Linked DNA regions of Lonchura striata. The protein of the gene in region 1 binds, or shares a complex with, the protein of each later gene. Links are inferred from orthologs where the notes say so. Each region holds a gene or a part of one and is shown in the gene's direction. Other genes may lie near its edges. The genes, in order: ZDHHC9 and GOLGA7.

Evidence for each region.
Region 2: the proteins of ZDHHC9 (region 1) and GOLGA7 are in contact, whole or in part, in a cryo-EM structure (PDB 8HF3), measured with the Homo sapiens proteins. The link is inferred for Lonchura striata from reciprocal best matches to the Homo sapiens genes ZDHHC9 and GOLGA7. Residues at the interface, in NP_001008223.1 of Homo sapiens: Phe78, Ala81, Arg85, Ile94, Pro95, Leu98, Asp100, Glu101, Phe104, Ile105, Phe129, Gln130, Ile131, Asn132, Ile146, Pro149, Pro150, Arg182, Tyr183, Leu186, Tyr274, Lys281, Cys284, Glu285, Leu287, Cys288, Gly289, Pro290, Leu291, Pro292; in NP_001002296.1 of Homo sapiens: Lys11, Phe13, Gln15, Tyr18, Ser19, Ser20, Gly21, Thr22, Ala57, Glu58, Leu60, Ser64, Tyr65, Gly68, Cys72, Ala75, Tyr76, Thr77, Phe79, Leu80, Tyr86, Glu87, Leu90, Ile116, Arg118, Gly119, Arg121, Val122.

What each region holds. Positions count from the first base shown.
Region 1 is NC_134616.1:15,265,272-15,273,311, reverse strand, and holds the start of ZDHHC9 (palmitoyltransferase ZDHHC9), read left to right. Parts: upstream 1-4,788; 5' UTR 4,789-4,807; intron 4,808-5,078; exon of another isoform or gene 5,079-5,152; 5' UTR 5,153-5,282; coding exon 5,283-5,449; intron 5,450-8,040. Other genes in the region: UTP14A (U3 small nucleolar RNA-associated protein 14 homolog A), read right to left, coding at 1-236, 687-764, 847-970, 1,074-1,168, 1,349-1,468, 2,328-2,483, 2,587-2,729, 2,841-2,905 and 2 more. UniProt on the Homo sapiens protein: Palmitoyltransferase that catalyzes the addition of palmitate onto various protein substrates, such as ADRB2, GSDMD, HRAS, NRAS and CGAS. The ZDHHC9-GOLGA7 complex is a palmitoyltransferase specific for HRAS and NRAS.
Region 2 is NC_134634.1:4,765,121-4,773,529, forward strand, and holds the start of GOLGA7 (golgin subfamily A member 7), read left to right. Parts: upstream 1-5,226; 5' UTR 5,227-5,383; coding exon 5,384-5,494; intron 5,495-6,393; coding exon 6,394-6,546; intron 6,547-6,818; coding exon 6,819-6,920; intron 6,921-7,955; coding exon 7,956-8,003; 3' UTR 8,004-8,019; intron 8,020-8,409. UniProt on the Homo sapiens protein: May be involved in protein transport from Golgi to cell surface. The ZDHHC9-GOLGA7 complex is a palmitoyltransferase specific for HRAS and NRAS.

The sequences.
Region 1 (8,040 bases):
CCCTTGCTCTCCACAGCAACAGGCACTGTGTCATCTCTTGGACCCTCCTGTGCCTCAGGCTCCGGGGCCAGGCCACTGGGCTTGCCCAGCATCCAGGGATTAGCCCCACTAGGCATGGGCAAGGCCGTGGTGTCCTCCTCAGGCACCTCACACGGCTCCTCCTCGGGCGGCTCCACCCGCACCTTCTGCATCAGCTCCTTGTTCCTGGCCAGCTGCTCCTGCAAGGCCTTGCGGGCCTGGGAGGCACCGAGAGGCTCTAACACAGGGCAGAGACAACATTCCCAACCTTCCCTGCCCTTCCCATTCCCTCAGTCTCCTCTCCTTCCCCAAGCAATGCTGAGGATCCTGCCACGGCATTCCAATATATAAATGGGATTATAAGAGATAGAGAAACTTTATACTGTGGCTTGGAGGGACAGGACAAGGGGGAATGGCTGCACATTGACAGAAGGAAGGGCTAGATGGGATATTGGGAAGAAATTCTTTCCTGTGAGGGTGGGGAAGCCAAGGCAGAGATTGCCCAGAGAAGCTGTGGCTGCCCCATCCCCAGAAATGTTCAAGGACAGGTTGGTCAGGGCTTGGAGCAACTTGGTCTGGTGGAAAGTGTCCCTGCCCATGGCAGGGGGGTGGAACTGGGTGAGCTTAAAGGTCCCTTCTCACAAAACCCTTCTGTGGCTCCATCTCACCTCGAGGTCATACTTAGCCATAATGGCCCTGGATCGGGCCCATTTTCCCTTGTTCTGGTGCTTAAGGCTCATCCGCTCCTGGGGAAAGAGAAGCATCACACAGAGCTCCCCAAGGAGCAGGGCCCTCCCGAGGGGTGAGGCAGAGGTGCCGGGGCAGCACCTGCATCCTGAGCTGCTCCAGCTCCTCCAGCCGTTCCAAGGCGGCCGCAGGGTCCGACTTGTGCAGCTGCTCGAACTCCTTCAGGGCCTGGCGCCTCCGGCTCTTCTTGAGCACGCGGTGGTACCTGTGGCACAGGGGTGGCTCAGGGGCTGGGCAGCCACGGGTGAGGCAGGGCTGGCCTGCCCTGCCCTGTCAATGTGCCCAGCCCAGCACAGGCACAGCCTCACTTCTTGCTCTTGATCCGCTTCGCTCGCCGAGCCTTGGCCTCATAGTAGGACTGCAATGCCCGGGCCTTCTGCAGCTCCGCCCGCCGGCGCCGAGCCTGCCGGGGAGCGCGGGGTGAGGGAGGGGAACGGGGGGTGAGGGAGGGGAACGGGGGGTGAGGGAGGACAGCGCGGGGTGAGGCACGGGGAGCAGGGGGTGAGGCACGGGGAGCACAGGGTGAGGAACGGGGCCAAGGAAGAGGCCCCCAGAGCCAGGGCCCAGCAGGATAAAGCCTCACCTCCTCCAAGCTCATGGCCTGCACTGAGGCCATCTCCTCTGGTGTCAGCAGCGGGTCTGTGATGGGCTGCTGTGTCTTGTGGAGCAATCCAAAGATCTCCTGCTCCAGTGGAGTTCGGGCCTGTTGGGACAGTAGACATGGCAAGAGGATGAGGAGAAGTGCAAGCAGCAGTGCTCCCCTGGATGTCCCCATCCATTCTCACTGCCCCCACGTTGGTCTGTGGAAGGCCCAGAGAAGCATCCCCTGCCTTGGGGGACTGGGTGGCCATAGCCCCACTCATGGCTCCCACACCACAGCCCTTGGGCACTCTCCCAGCCACATGGCCCGGTGAGGGCAGGTAGAATTCCTCCCGCATTAGAAAAATGGCCTCCCAGTTGCCAGGCAGTGCTGACCAGGGGGAACCACACAGGAGTTCCAGGCCATGCAATGCCACGTCCCTCCAAAACAGAAAGGGACTTTTGGGCAGATCAGTGTGAGCAACAGGTTTGCTGGGAGTTCAGTAGGGGCCGTCCCTTCCTCACCTGGGCATCTGACAACTGCCAGGGACAGCAGTGCTCTCCTGCAAGCAGCACAACCCCACAACAACTTGCATTCAAAACCAAACACCTCCCTCTTTTGTAAGGAATGTTTCCAGGCACACAGGACTTGGCAAACCAATCCCCTCTGTCTCAGCACTTGTGGCCAAGGGACACTCCCATGTGCCTGGCCCTGAGAGGCTACAAGAAGGGACACAGCAGGCTCCAAACCCTCTGCTCACACCCTACCTGGCTTGTCCCAGATGGAATTTACACACCTGCTCTGTAAAACTGCCCTTCTAACCTTCCCAAGCTCAGCGGGCACCTGCCCAGTGTCACCCCCAGTCTGGGCCTGCCACCACTGCCCCTGGCACAGCCAGGAGACATCAACCTGCCCCAGCTGATCCTGGAGCCACCCAGCAGTGCCCCCAGAGCCACCCCAGCCGTGTGAGCCCCGGTGTCACCTTCCACGCTGAGGTGACCCTCTCCAGAGGGGTGACGGTGGCGATGTCCTGCCGCAGGGGGAACACCAGCTGCTCTGCACGCCGGTTCTGCAGCACCACCTGCTGCCACTTCCCCACCTCCTTCGAGCTGGTCACGTAGGCCGCTTCCCTCACCACCTGCAGGGGAATGGGACAGGCAGAGAAAGGTGATGGTGGCATCAGGGAGGCACACGGGGGTCCTGGGGGCTCAGCTCAGACTCCCCTGGCTCCCTGCACTCACCCTCTTGGCCTCCTCTTTGCTCAGTGGCAGCTCCACCGCCGCCTTCTGCTTCACTCTGGCCAGCTCCTTCCTCACACTGCCCAGCGTGGATTTGGGATGAATGGGCTGCAGCAGCTCCGACAGAAGCAGCTTTTCCCCAGCACCTACGCACAGGTGTGGCACTGCCGGGTGAGGGAGCTGGCCCAGCCCTCACGGGGGCTCTCGGCGGGCAGCGCCATCCCAGCTCCGCGAGCCCTGTCCTGCTCCCCGCTCACCTTTGCAGCTGACATTGAACTCGGACACCTGCCCGCTGGCCTCCGAGCGTTCCGCCAGCTTCCGCCTGCGAGAGAGACACAGAAAACACCCCCGAAGGTTCCTCGTATCCGCCGGCTGCTCTGGGGGGCCTGGGGCCGGTGCCGAGGGCAGGGGCCGAGGCCTGTCCCCTGCCCTCCTTGCTGGGCAGCCTCCCGCCACCCACGCGGCTGCCGCAGGAGCCCCGGGACGCCCGCAGCCGCCACTCACCGTTTGCGTCCGGACAAGGCGCTGATGGCCTCCAGGAGCTGCCGGTGCCGCCGCTCGCCATCCTCCTGCCACAGGGCACACGCGGTCACAGACCCAACCTGGCCCCAGCGCCCGCTCCCCCGTTCTCCCCGGTGCCCCCAACGGCACCGCCCGGCCGGCTCCCGGGCCCGACATCCCCGGCCAGGCCATGCCGTCCTCCGCTGCGCCCACCGCGGCCGGGAGAGCGCCCGGAGCGCCGCAAACAGCGGTGGAGGCTACCCGGAGAGCCCGTGGCGCTGTTCCCGGCCCCGCTCACCCCCTCCTCGCTGTCGCTGTCGCTCCCCGCCGCCGCCGCCGCCGGCTCCTGCTCCGCCATGGCCCCGCACGCCGGTACTGCCGCAAAGCGCCGCCGAGTGTCGCGCCGAGCCCCGGCGCCCTGCCGCAAAGCGCGCCGCCGTGACGTGCGGGTTGCCATGGCAGCGGGCCCGGCGGGCGGGGCGGGAGAGGCGGAGGGACCGAAGGGGTCCGGGAGGGGCGGGCAGCGCCCCGCCCGCCTCGGGAGCCGCCGGGACACCGCAGTTCTGCGGGTCTTCGCTCCGTCCCTGACTCTCGTGGCTGCCCCCGGCCGCAGGGATTCCAGGATTCGCTGTTTTCCCTCGGGTCGCGCCAGTGCCGCGGGCTCGGGACGGAGCTGCCGCACCTCCGGTTCCTCCCGGCGGCCGAACCCGGCTCCTGGGAGCGTTTTGGGGGTCAATAGGATCTGGAGGATGGTTGGAGCAAACACACGGAATTGTCAGCCACGAAGCGGTGTCAGTGTCCGCCACTGCGCCCGCAGCGCCCGTCCTGCCCGCGCCCCTTGTCGTTCTGCTCCGTCCCGAGCCGGGCGCACGGGGGCTCGGGGCAGGAGGGACGGGGATAACGAGCTGCTCCCCGTCCGCTCCCGTCTCCATAGCAACAGCCGCGGGAAAAGTTCTGTGTTTTCCCCTCGGTTTGGCGCTCCGGGCCCTGCCTTTGCTGGCAGCCACGTGCCCGGCGGGAGCGCTGTGTGCGGGATTCCAAAGGGGCTGGGATGACAGGGATCGATGGGATGCCCCTGGCAGGATGCCGGCAATGGAATCCTGGGGGGCTCTCCGGACCCAACCCCACGGTGTGGGCGTGCAAAACCGTATGAAAACTACTGTGCGAAATGTGGGAATGTGCGGATGGGGCGGGAGGGGCGGGGAACCCACGACGGGAGCATCCCGTGCGCTCCCCGCGGCGCTGGGACTCGGAAGCCCGGTCCTTGTAGACACCCGGGGAGAGAAAAGGTTAAAAGAGGAACGGGGGGCTGCACCGGGAGGTCTGGAGGGAGCAGTGGGGGATGAGCCCTCACGGCCCCGCCCCACCACGTGCCGCGCCCCGCCCTCACCCCGCCCTCCCTTGTCCGCACCGGGGCGGGTCAACCACGCGGAGTGGCAGCGCCCTCAGCCAATGAACCAGCGAGAAGAGGCGGGGTGGGAGGAGTCACCACGAAGTGACAGCGCCAGTGACCAATGGAGTGGCGAGAAGGGGTGCAGTGGGAGGAGCTGCCACGGATTGACAGCGCGCTCGCCCAATAGAAAGGCGGGAAGCGGCGGGGCGGGGCGAAGGGCGCGGCGGGACCAATGGCCGCGGCGGCTCCGCCCCGTTCGGGCGCGGGGCGTGGCGGCCCCTCCCGGCGCGGTGCGAGCGACCGGCGCGGCCCGAGCGGCACCGGCACCGGGTGAGCGGCGGCGCGGGGCCCTTCCCGGCCCCTTCCCTCCCTTCCCCTTCCCTCCCGTCTCCTCTCTAACCCTTCCCATCCGCGCTCTCCGCGGCTCCCGGCACGCCCGCACAGCCGGGGCTGCCGTGCCTTGTGTGGCCGGGCCCTGCCGCGTCCCCTCCCGGTGCGGAGCCGCCCACCCGAGGGTCTTCCTGGCCGCGCCCCGCGCCCCTCCCGGGTGGATTCCCACGGCAACGCCCCTCCCGGGCGCGGGGTTTCCATGGCGACGGCGGCCGCCGCCCCCCGTGCCGGTGCCGCCGCCGCCCTGGTGCTGACCGAGCGCTTTCCCCGTTCCCTCTCCCGCAGCCGCCGGCCCAGCCCAGCCCAGCTCGGCCCCGCGGGGCCCCGATGATGCTGGGCGCTCGGGCGGCGGAGCAGCAGCAGCAGCAGCGCCCGAACGTGCGGCGGCCGCCGCCGCCCCAGTGACGGCCCCGCCATGTCGGTGATGGTGGCGAGGAAGAAGGTGGTTCGGAAATGGGAGAAGCTGCCGGGCAGGAACACCTTCTGCTGCGACGGCCGTATCATGATGGCCCGGCAGAAGGGCATCTTCTACCTGACGCTCTTCCTCATCCTCGGCACCTGCGCCCTCTTCTTCGCCTTCGAGTGAGTTCCGCGGGGACCCACGGGACGGGGACGGGCCCGTGTGCCCGGGGCCTCCGGGAGAGGGAGGGAAGCGGAGTGCGGCTCTCCCTGTCCAGATCTGCTTCCTCACCCTCAGCAGACTGACCCTGGAGGTTCTGGGGGGAATGGGCCCTGCCGGAGCCCTGCCAAGGGGTGACACTGGCCCTGCTTCCCTGTGGGTCACCTTCTGTCTTGGGACTTGGCAGTCCCTTGTCCCGAGTGCTCCTGGCTCCAGGATAGCCGGGGTGCAAGGGGACAGTGCTGCAGCCCTGGGGCACAGCCTGTGTCCCTGCAGCCCCCACATCAGCCCCACTAGGGAGGTGACCCCAGCAGGAGGATTAATGAAAAATGAGCTGGAGGGTCCTGCCAGTCTGACCTAGCCCCAGCCCCAGGCTGCAGTGCAGGCAGAGCCACGCTGGTATTTAGGAAGGATCCGACCACCCCTTCCATCACCTCAGCAGCCTAAAGACCTTCGGCCAAAACCTTTGATCCTGCTGAAAAAGAGGGATCTGCCACCTCTGAAATAGAGGGATCTGCCCTCTCCCCTCAGCTCTCCCTGGGAGCTGGGCTGGGGAGTTTGGCTGGCCTTAGACTAATCCTGAAATCAAAAAACAAGCAAAAAGGGAAAAGCCTATGTTTGTCTGGGCTGATGCTGCAGCAGGGGGCAGGACACCCCTGTTGCCTGGCTAGAGGATGAACTTGGATCAGTTAAACAACTGAAAAACTTCCCTTCCTCGGTCTCCATGGGCATGTTTGTGTTGTGGGGCAGCAGAAGGGCTGAAATAGGGTTGGGTAATACAAAAGGTTGAAAAGCCAAGATGAGCGAGTAAAAGGACCTGCTCACTGGCTAAGCCCCTGGCTATTCCAAAAAGCCCTGGGCCCAGATGCTGTCCTCCTCAGCATAGTTCCTAAGCCAGGGAACTTGTTTCCACATTCCCTGGCCCAGCGTGTCTCTCCCTAGTTCCCTGCCCGAATTATCTCTGTCTCAGTCTGAATTCTGAGGTACTAAGTGACACCGCTCTTGGTTTGATGTTTGGGGTTTTTTCCATCTGAAAAATAGGGCTGAGCCTTCCTGCCTTACAGGAAGAACTATTAAGTGTTGCTGCTCCAGAAACGCTTATTGCTGCACCAGAAACACTGATTTGAGGGATAATTGCTCTGGCTCCCTGTGGATCCTGCCCGTAGCAGGAGCATGAACCACATCCCGCTCTGCCTTGGTTGCGCTAAGGCAGAGTGAGCCAAGGCTGTTTTCCAGACCTAGGCTGTGGTTAGTCAGGAACGTGACTGGAAATTCCTTGAGAAGCCCCTTTCCATGCTCTGGCAGGCAGAGGCCTGTGGAGGAGTCGCTTGCACCGAGACATTGAGGCTGTGTGTAGACCTGGAGGGTGGGCTCTGCGGGGGGAATGCTGCTGGGAACAGGATCACCTCTGAATTTTAGTTAAATCATTGAGGGAGATAAGGAAAAGTTTGGGAAAATCCAAATACCCAATGAACCGATTCTTTCAGTGCAGAACACCTCAGTATTTTTTTTTTGTTTGGAACAGAGGAGATTGTTTTGAACTTGTTTGGGGATTTTTGAATTTGGGATAGGGATGAAATGTTGCCTTCCCAGCTGGAAACACTTCCCAAGGTCTCTGTTTCACTGATCAGGCTGAGATAAGTAGCTTGGCTGCTCAGGAGCCCTGCCTGCCCTGCATGTGTAGGGAGCTCTGGGTGAGGATCTCAGCCTCGCTCTTTCACTGTGTTGTCTCAGTGTTTGGCAGATTCTTTAGTGTTTGCGTGGAAATTCCTGGTTTCCCCGTGAAAGTTGCTGTGTGGATTCGGAGCGCGGCAGCCGGCGGTGGGCGGAGGAGCCTTTCCCTGGCTGTCCCTCACTGCAGGCTGCCTGTGCCTCTCCATTCAGCTGAATCACTTGCGCAGTCACACCTTGTCTGAGCGCGGCTCCGACTGAGCCAGGATCTGTCTGGCTGCTCGCCCTGCGCCGGGCTGGGCTTGATCCTGGTGCTCCGGGCTGCCCTGGCTCCAGTTACAGCTGAGGCCGGTGGGGACCAGCACCCACGGCAGGAGGAAAGCCACAACCCTTCCTTCCCAGCCCTGGAGCGATGGGGCTGCTGCTGGTGCTGGTTTTCCTCCAGGTTTCTCCAGTGCTGCCAGCTGCTCCGCGGTGTCCACAGGCCAGCGGGCTGAGCCGCCTCAGCCCCGTGCGTGGGAATTTCTGTGTGTTGATCCCCCAAACCGCAGCGCTGTGTTTTGGGACTGGGGAAATCTCTCCCTCCAGGAGCAGACAGGAGCCAGAAGCTGGCAGAACTCAGTGCTGTACCTGAGATCCGACTCCTCCCTCTTAGATAAGGCAGAGGGACGGAGCTGTGCTGGTTCCCGGGAAGGGCTCTGCAGCGACCGACTGGAGTCCTCTGCCCAAGGGCACCTCTCTCACCACTACGGAGCAGCTCCCGCTGCTCCCTGCAGAGTCCGAGAGCTGTGTTTAACTGGGTCTGCTCCATAACACGTCCCGTAAAATACAGTTTCACATCCTCTTGGCGTTATTTCAGACTCCTAATGGTACGTCAGCCCTG
Region 2 (8,409 bases), on another chromosome or scaffold:
GGGTTTGCTGCACAGGTACAATGAAAGAAAAGCAGAATGGAAACAGGGCACAGGTTCAAGTACACGAAAAACTACATCCCTTTTCCCTGGCACCAGGAAGCATTGAACACAGCCCACACAACAGACTGCACTGGAGCCTTCCCAGCAGCAGGAAAAAATGCTGGCTTTGGTGTACTACTGAGCATGGCAGTGGCTGGGGCTGAGGAGCAGCAGGAGCTGCAGGCCCCCGCCATGGCTTATTGTGCCATGCACAATAAGCATCTGGGCAGCTGTGCAGTCATCTGTGGCCAGACCTTGCTCTTTGGCCACAGAGCTGGGCAAAGGCCAAAGGGTAAAGGGCAAACCATAGGAGCAGAAACAAAGCTAGATCAGCTCATTCATGCAAACCTTTTCAGGAGCTTTTGGTGGCAGGATGAGCAGCCATAGGGGTGCAGGACTTGCTGCCTGGACACACAGGCTGCCAGGTCCTATGCAGTCACTTGGCAGTGGTTGAAAAGGTACAGGATCCTGGAGGCTTAATTAGAAAGGACCCACACGGATTGTCAAAGTCCATCTCCTGCCCCTTCTCACATGCATGAGAATTTCACCCTGTGCCTGAGAGCGTTGTCCAAACACTTGAACTCTGACAGGTTTGGAGCTGTGACCACTGCTCTCGGGAGCCTGTTCAGTGCCTGACCAACTTCTGGGGGAAGAACTTGCCCCACTTCTCATTGTCACCCCCTCACCACCAGATACAGCATCCACCTGTGCTCAAATTCTACTGTAGTATCCTCAAAGTTAAGGTCTCATTTAAGTGCTTTTATGAATAAAAACTTGTTAAAAGAAATGCCTGCAAGGCAGGGCAAGTCCTGCTCTCCCTCCTCTTTTTAACAGTGAGAAAGCGAGGTGGCTTTGCCCCAAGACAGCTTTGCCTTGGGATGGAAAGAGAGGAGCCTGGGCACTCTGCTTCCATCCCCACATCCAGCTGCCAGAGCTGGCTTCTGAGGTAGTCTTTGAGATGTTGAGTTAAGGCTGATTCCCTGGGGCACAACATGCTGCCTCTCAGTTTCAGGGTTTTAATGGACTGGCAGGGTGTCTGGGAAGGAGGAGAGGGAAACAGAATTTTCCTTTCCCCAATAATAATTTTATGAAATATTTTAAAAGGGATTTAAAGAAGACTCTCTTTCCTCCCTTCCCCCTTTCTCAACTGTACTGTGCATTTTAAACTGCTTGTGGAAGGGAATTCATTAGTGCAGGCAGCAGAGCCCAAAGCTCTACAGCAGCCCGTCTTCTGCACAATGGAGATCCAATGCTTTCTCCCCTGCCTGGGAAACACATGCCCAAAATCCAAGTACATTTAGTTTTTCTAACCTAATTCATTTTGTAGATTGATGGAGAAAATCCATAGCAAATATTTATGACTTTGCAATAAATAACCCTCACAGAAGTTACAAAAGAGTTCTGGCGAGTCTCAAGGTAACTTTCAGCGAATTCCAGGGGTCAGGGCAGACTGGGATACTGAGCCCATAGTGCTTGAGCCTTTAGCTCATCTGTTTTGAATTATTGGTATTACTCAGTGTAACATTGCTCTCAATGGAGTAGCTGTGCTGTGATTCCATGCCATATTTTATTTCTGTGGCAAGAGAGAAGCTGCAATAACTATTAGTTGTACTCTGTTGTAGCCTGCAAAAAAACCAGGCCCCAGCGGGGCAGGGTTGGTCCTGCTGGTGCTTGCAGGCTGCGAAGGAGCCTGAGCCTGAGTGCCTGGGACAGGACTGGGGGCAGACGTGGTGCTTTTTCCTGCCAGGAAACGTGGACTGCTGAGGTGCTCGTAGGCATCTGGCGCTGCTCCAAAGGTGGTAGTGTCCCAACATTCTGCTGAAGGCAGCTATCAATGCTTCAGGCCCCTGGGGCCAGCGAGGGGTGGTGGGTGCTGCTGGGGCACCACACTCCCCGTCCTGAGAGCCACACTCCCATCCTGAGAGCCACACTCCCATCCTGAGAGCCACACTACTATCCCGAGAGCCACACTCCTCGTCCTGAGAGCCACACCCCTATCCTGAGAGCCACTATCCTGTCCTGAGAGCCACACTCCCGTCCTGAGAGCCACACTCCTATCCAGGGAGCCACACTCCCATCCCGAGAGCCACACTCCCATCCTGAGAGCCACAATCCCTGTCCTGAGAGCCACACTCCTATCCTGGGAGCCACACTCCAATCCTGAGAGCCACACTCCTATCCCAGGAGCCACACTCCCGTCCTGAGAGCCACGCTCCCGTCCTGAAAGCCACTATCCTGTCCTGAGAGCCACACTCCTATCCTGGGAGCCACACTCCAATCCTGAGAGCCACACTCCCGTCCTGAGAGCCACACTCCCGTCCTGAGAGCCACACTCCTTTCCTGAGAGCCACACTCTTGTCCTGGGAGCCACACTCCCGTCCTGAGAGCCACACTCCCGTCCTGAGAGCCACTATCCTGTCCTGAGAGCCACACTCCTATCCCGGGAGCCACACTCCCGTCCCGAGAGCCACACTCCTCGTCCTGAGAGCCACACTCCAATCCTGAGAGCCACACTCCAATCCTGAGAGCCACACTCTTGTCCTGGGAGCCACACTCCTGTCCTGAGAGCCACACTCCCAACCTGAGAGCCACACTTCTGTCCTGGGAGCCACACTTCTGTCCTAGAAGCCACACTCCCATCCTGAGAGCCACAATCCCCATCCTGAGAGTCACACTCTTATCCTGGGAGCCACACTCCCATCCTGAGAGCCACACTTCTGTCCTAGAAGCCACGCTCCTGTCCTGAGAGCCACACTCCTGTCCTGAGGACCACACTCCTGTCCTAGGAGCCATGACTGGGGCGAGAACGGATCCAGCTCATCCCCACTCTATCTTCGTTAGCTCTTAATCACCACAGCGGAAGGAAAAGCAGCTACAGCATCACGCTGCTCGCCCGGGCATGGGCTTCTTTCAGGGCTTTCAGAAAACAGGGTCAGACGTGTCTTCTGACCTATGACCTGTCGCTTCCCTCCTCGCCATAATTATCTAATACAGCGCTCTCCCTGCCAAGTACAATGAAACAATTTGTCACTTCAATTGTCTGTCAGTCAACACTGGGGCCTTTTCAACAGACCAACACATGTTTTTTGAGAGCTTGTCAGCAAGGGCTGTCTGGCCAGGCACATAACCATGGAAAATGGAACCTTTGTTAATTCTGGTTCTTAGAAAAGTAAATCCATTCACTTGTTTTTTTCAGGCCTTCAGTTTGGAATTTGCACAAGAAGCTGAATTGCTCCTGATCCCTAAATGATTGGTCAGAGGATTTGCATGAGGAAGCAGAAATTAATTATTCTTTTCTTTTCTTTTTATTTTCTGTAATTGTGTGTTTAGAAATGAGATTACATTCTACAGCAGCACGAGGGGCTGAGGGGGGAATTGCTTTGCATTTGTTTAGCTCCTTAGAGTTAAGATCACCTAATCGTTTCAAGCATTTCCTAAGATTCCCTCTCTCTTTTTCTGCTTTAATGACCAAACAAAGATTGTGCTACTTCCCGGGGAACTTTTCTGGCAGCTGAGCTTGGCAGTTGGGAGTGAGGGGCTTATCCCTCTGCCGAAATAGTCTTAGAATCACACAATCACTAAGGTTGGAAAAGACCTCTAGATCACTGAGTGCAACCATTAACTAACTCAATGCTGCCAAGGTCTCCTTCCTGCTTTTGGCTTGCAGGGCACAAAAGGCATTGCAGAGCTCACAGGCTTGAGTCTTGGTGGCTCCTTGTGCTGGAGGAAGGGTGCCAGGATTCCAGCCAGCCCAGGAAGGAACTGCTGGCTACCCAATTCACATGTCCAGTCAGCACAAGCTGGGGTGCCTGGGGAGCCCCATGCCAGGCAGGGTGCTGGGACATCCCAGAGGGGCCACCTGAGCTGTCAGGACATGGATCTGCTAGTTCCAGGCCCTGCAGTCATGCTCCTGTTCAGACAATAAAACAGATAACCTTGTTGATAGCACAAAAAAAAGAGAAAAAAAACCTGCATTTTTTGGTGCTACTTAGAGCTTCTTTCTGTATTTTTGGGTTTTTAAACATTTTTCTTTTGAAAGCAGCACCCTTTGAAATTCTCAGTTTGTCTGTTGATACACAGATGAAATTCTATTCCTGAATATTTAATGCAAGATAGATATCTCTATTTTCATGTATTCATCATTTTCTTTGTCATGTGGAAGCTTGTGTTCTGAAATACTTTATTTGAGAGCATTACAGAAATGCTGGATGGCCCATACTCAATTTCAAATGCCCTAAATAAAAACTTCTTCAGATCTGGCTTTCCAGAATACCCGTCCCTGCCTAATTCAAACCATACAGGGACGTCTGACTTAGACTCTTTCAAGCCCATAAAATGACACAAATTGGCTTTGCGAGTATATCTCCCACCTTTAGCTATGTCTATAAATTTGATTTGTCCTCTTGCATCTCTACTGCATTAGGTGGCCTGAAAGACTCTGTTTCAAAGTGTCTGTCTGCTCTGAGAGCCACAAGCGTCCATGCTTGGTCAGGCTGGAAAACACTGTGCCCATGAACAGCGAGGGGTCAGTGGCTGCTCAACACCTCGGATTTGCCCATGGCTCTCAGGAAGAGCAGAGTGGCACTGTGTGGCCCCATGGCACCGTCGGCACGAGCACCACAAGCACGAGCACCCCAAGCACGAGCCCCTCCTGAAGGTCGGGTCCCGGAGGATGAGCTCCAGAGGCACAGCCCCAGGACACGGCGCTCGGGGTGAGGCCGTCCCTGCGCTCTCTGCTGCCAGGTTTGCCTTGGCCCGAGGGACCGCTGCTCTCGCTGCCTCGGCAGCCCAGAGCCCTCGGGCAAAGGTTAACGGGCCGCCACCGGACCCCGCGTGCGGCAGCACAGCCAGCTGCGACAAAGCTGCGGGAGCGTCGCTCTGCGCGCAGCGGCTCCGGTTCCTACGAAAAACCATGGAACTGAGGCCCGAGCTGGGAGCGGCGGGCCCGGGACAGGGCCGGGCCCCGGGACAGCCGGCGACTGTGGGCCCGGGCGGTACCAAGTACGCCGGGGGGCCGCCGGGACAGGCGGTGTTGCCGCGGGCCCGGGCGGTACCAAGTACGGCTGGGAGGGAACGGGGGGGGTGTGTCACGTGAGCTGGCCGCGCTTGAAATCAGCCGTACGCCCAATCGGATATGGGTGCTTTTGCACATGCGCGCTCCTGCCGTTCTGCGGGCTCCGAGGCTACACCTGCGCAGTGCCGCGCCTTGTGGCGCCTGGCGGCACTTCCGCCCTCACCCGAGCCCGGCGTCGCCTCGGTGGTTTTGCGACAGCCGTAAGTGCGCGGGGCGGCCGGCGGAGCGGCGGGACCGGACGGGACCGGACGGGACCGGGGCGGCGGCGCAATGAGGCCGCAGCAGGCGCCTGTGTCGGGCAAGGTGTTCATCCAGCGCGACTACAGCGGTGGGACGCGCTGCCAGTTCCAGAGCAAGTTCCCGGCCGAGCTGGAGAACCGGGTGAGGCGGGGCGGACGGGGGCTGGCCCGGGGCTCGCGGCGAGCGCGGCGCACGGAGCCTGCACGCCGGGCGGGACCAGGCCGGGCCTTACGGGCCTGCGCCCAGGTGGCGTTCGCAGGTGCCCTGCCTCGGTCGGAGCTGGTCCCGCGGGTTCCCCGAGGGCCGGGGTAGCATCTCCTGCAGGAATCTGACCGAACCGCTCAGGCGCAGGAGCGGACGTGGTTCCTTCCTCGTGTCCCGGTCCCGGACTCTGGTCAGTCCTGGGGAAGGTGGCTGGTTTGCAGTAGAGCAGAATGTACTCGTTGTGTTTGTGCGAATAGAGTCGGGTCTGTTCTCTCAGGTGATAGCATTGTCCTCTCCCTTGAAATCCTACCCGTCCTGCCCACTCAGAAGCCTCACAAACGCTGTTTCAAGTACTTACGTTTTGGTCAGTGCTATCAGATGTGGGCTCTTAAGCTGACAGTCAAACAAACACGCCTTCCTACCCCATTTTCTTTCGCTCGCTCGGCTTTTCTCTCTTCCTTGTTCCTTTGTTGTGGGTACGTTTGGTCAGCACTGCAGCAGCACCGAGGCACTGAGGGTGTGGAGTGTCCCTCCACGCTCGCCTGTTCATTTTAACCCATCACATCCCTGGGTGTGAATTCCGGTTGTTTCACAGCTGAATTGCACATTAGCTTAGGAGTGTTGCTCTGAATGGTTTTGTGTCCACGTTGTGTTTGACTCGGACTCAGCCTGAGCACAGGAAGGTGTCTGACAAAGAGCTGCAGGTGTGTAACTCTGCGTGCTCCAGGCTGCGGCTCTGAGTGCAGTGCAGATGATCCCTGAGTGGAGGTGGATGTACAAGGCTACTGGTGAGTTCTGCAGTGTGCACCTGACAGCCCCACTTGCTTTTCTTGCAGATTGACAGGCAGCAGTTTGAGGAGACAGTCCGGACACTGAACAACCTCTATGCAGAAGCTGAAAAACTTGGGGGCCAATCTTACCTGGAAGGCTGTCTCGCCTGCCTGACTGCCTACACCATCTTCCTGTGCATGGAGACACACTATGAAAAGGTAAATGCTTGTTTCCCTTTCATCCTGCAGGCAAGAACTTGGGTCCTGGTGGGTTTCCTGTGACTTGCAATGTTCTGGTGCAGATGCTGTATGGATGTAACTCAGGCGTGCTGGTACTGGTCACTTTGGGTCCCATGGGGGGCACCCTGAATCCAGGCAAGTGCCTGCACTGTCGAGCCATCAGAGCAGTTGTGTGTCAGTTCTCACCTTGCCGTAGCTGTGATACTGTTTGAAAGGAAACAGTTGTGACTTCTGTGCTGTTTCATTGCCAGGTTCTAAAGAAAATTGCTAAGTTCATTCAGGAACAGAATGAGAAGATCTATGCTCCTCAGGGCCTTCTGCTGACAGACCCCATTGAAAGAGGATTAAGAGTTGTATCCTTCTCTGGTTTCTGACATTGTCTCCTGCCTTGTGCTCCTCGTTTGTCTCAGTGAGGCACCTCTGCTCATGCTCGATCTGTGATACAGAATGGGTGATTAATCTTGTTGCTTTTTGTTGTGTCCTGGTCCCTAGTCAGGTTTTAGTATGTTAAGGTTTGGTGCGTGCAAAGCCCATAAAGATGTGGAACCCAACCTTTGTGCCTGCCTGGAAAGAGCGCTCAGGATCCTGCCTCTATTCCAGTAATGTCCAGAAATGCTGTTTTTCTGACTGGGGAAAGAAGTGACCATGTTGGTAGGACAGAAATGGATGTGATAACATCAATTTACTTAATGTGCAACCCTCAGCTGAGGTTTTGGTGAAGATCTTGACATACAACATCACTGCAAGCCTGGCACTTGCTCTTGCTTCCAGTATGGCTTATTTCAACCCTTTTTCTTCAGCCGTTGAGCCACACTGAAGACATTTTGTGTGGTTATTGCCTGAAGTTGTAAAGACCTCTCATAGCAAATGGGGAAGTATAATGAGTAACACAGCTTTCTTTGAAAATCTTGAAACCACAGTAACTTGAAACCCAATGCCAATTGAATGTATGATGAGGCTAATTCGTTGAAGTTGGGTTTTCTGTGTCCTTGTCCATGTAGCTCAGAGCTGTCACCTACATGACTTCTTTTTTCTCAGTGTGTTTTTCCATTGTGTATACACCTTCTGGAAAGAAAAAAAAAACAACCAACATTCAATTTGAGTAAAAGCATTTTCAGTTTGGTAGGTGACTTATTAGCAGTATTAACTTTTTTTGCTCGGCGCACAGCCTTCCCCATGAGTTCCTGCGCAGGCCCTGGGCTGGGAGCCCGTGCTCTTACCTGATGAGGCATCTCACATAGGCTGTTCCTTTTGCTTTGGAGCTCTGGGACCTGCCTTTAAACAGCTCAGATATCAAAGTCCCATCATCTTAATGTTTTTCTGCCTTTTTCCGGGTATGTTTTCATAGTCTCTTTATAGTGTATTTCCTTAACAGCTTTTCTGTGCAGATTGAAATTACCATTTATGAAGACAGAGGTTTGACCAGTGGAAGATAAAACTGTGGAGTTTTAGGTACATGTTACCTGTATCTCAGATCAATCTCAACATCTTTTTGTGCTCAGAGGATTGGGTGCTGTCATGCTGGGAGTTTATCCCACCCTTGTAGTTATCAAAGACTGTTCACATAAAGCCTGTGTGGACCAGCTCTTCTTAGAAGTAAAAATATCAGTACTGGGTTGAAGAAATTGGAGTCTTGATTGTGTAAATATGCTAACTTGTACTGTATTATGTCCAAAATTCTTCTCGGGTCAGTAAAAAATGGACTCTGTCCCTGAGTGTACTTTAGCATACAGAGCCTTTTTGCTGCAGTTTTTTAGCTGGCTGCTGTTCTGGTTACCATGCTGATGTCTTTACTTGTGATGCTTTGCGGTAGGAGGGCCCAGCAGCCTTGAAAAGCTCTGC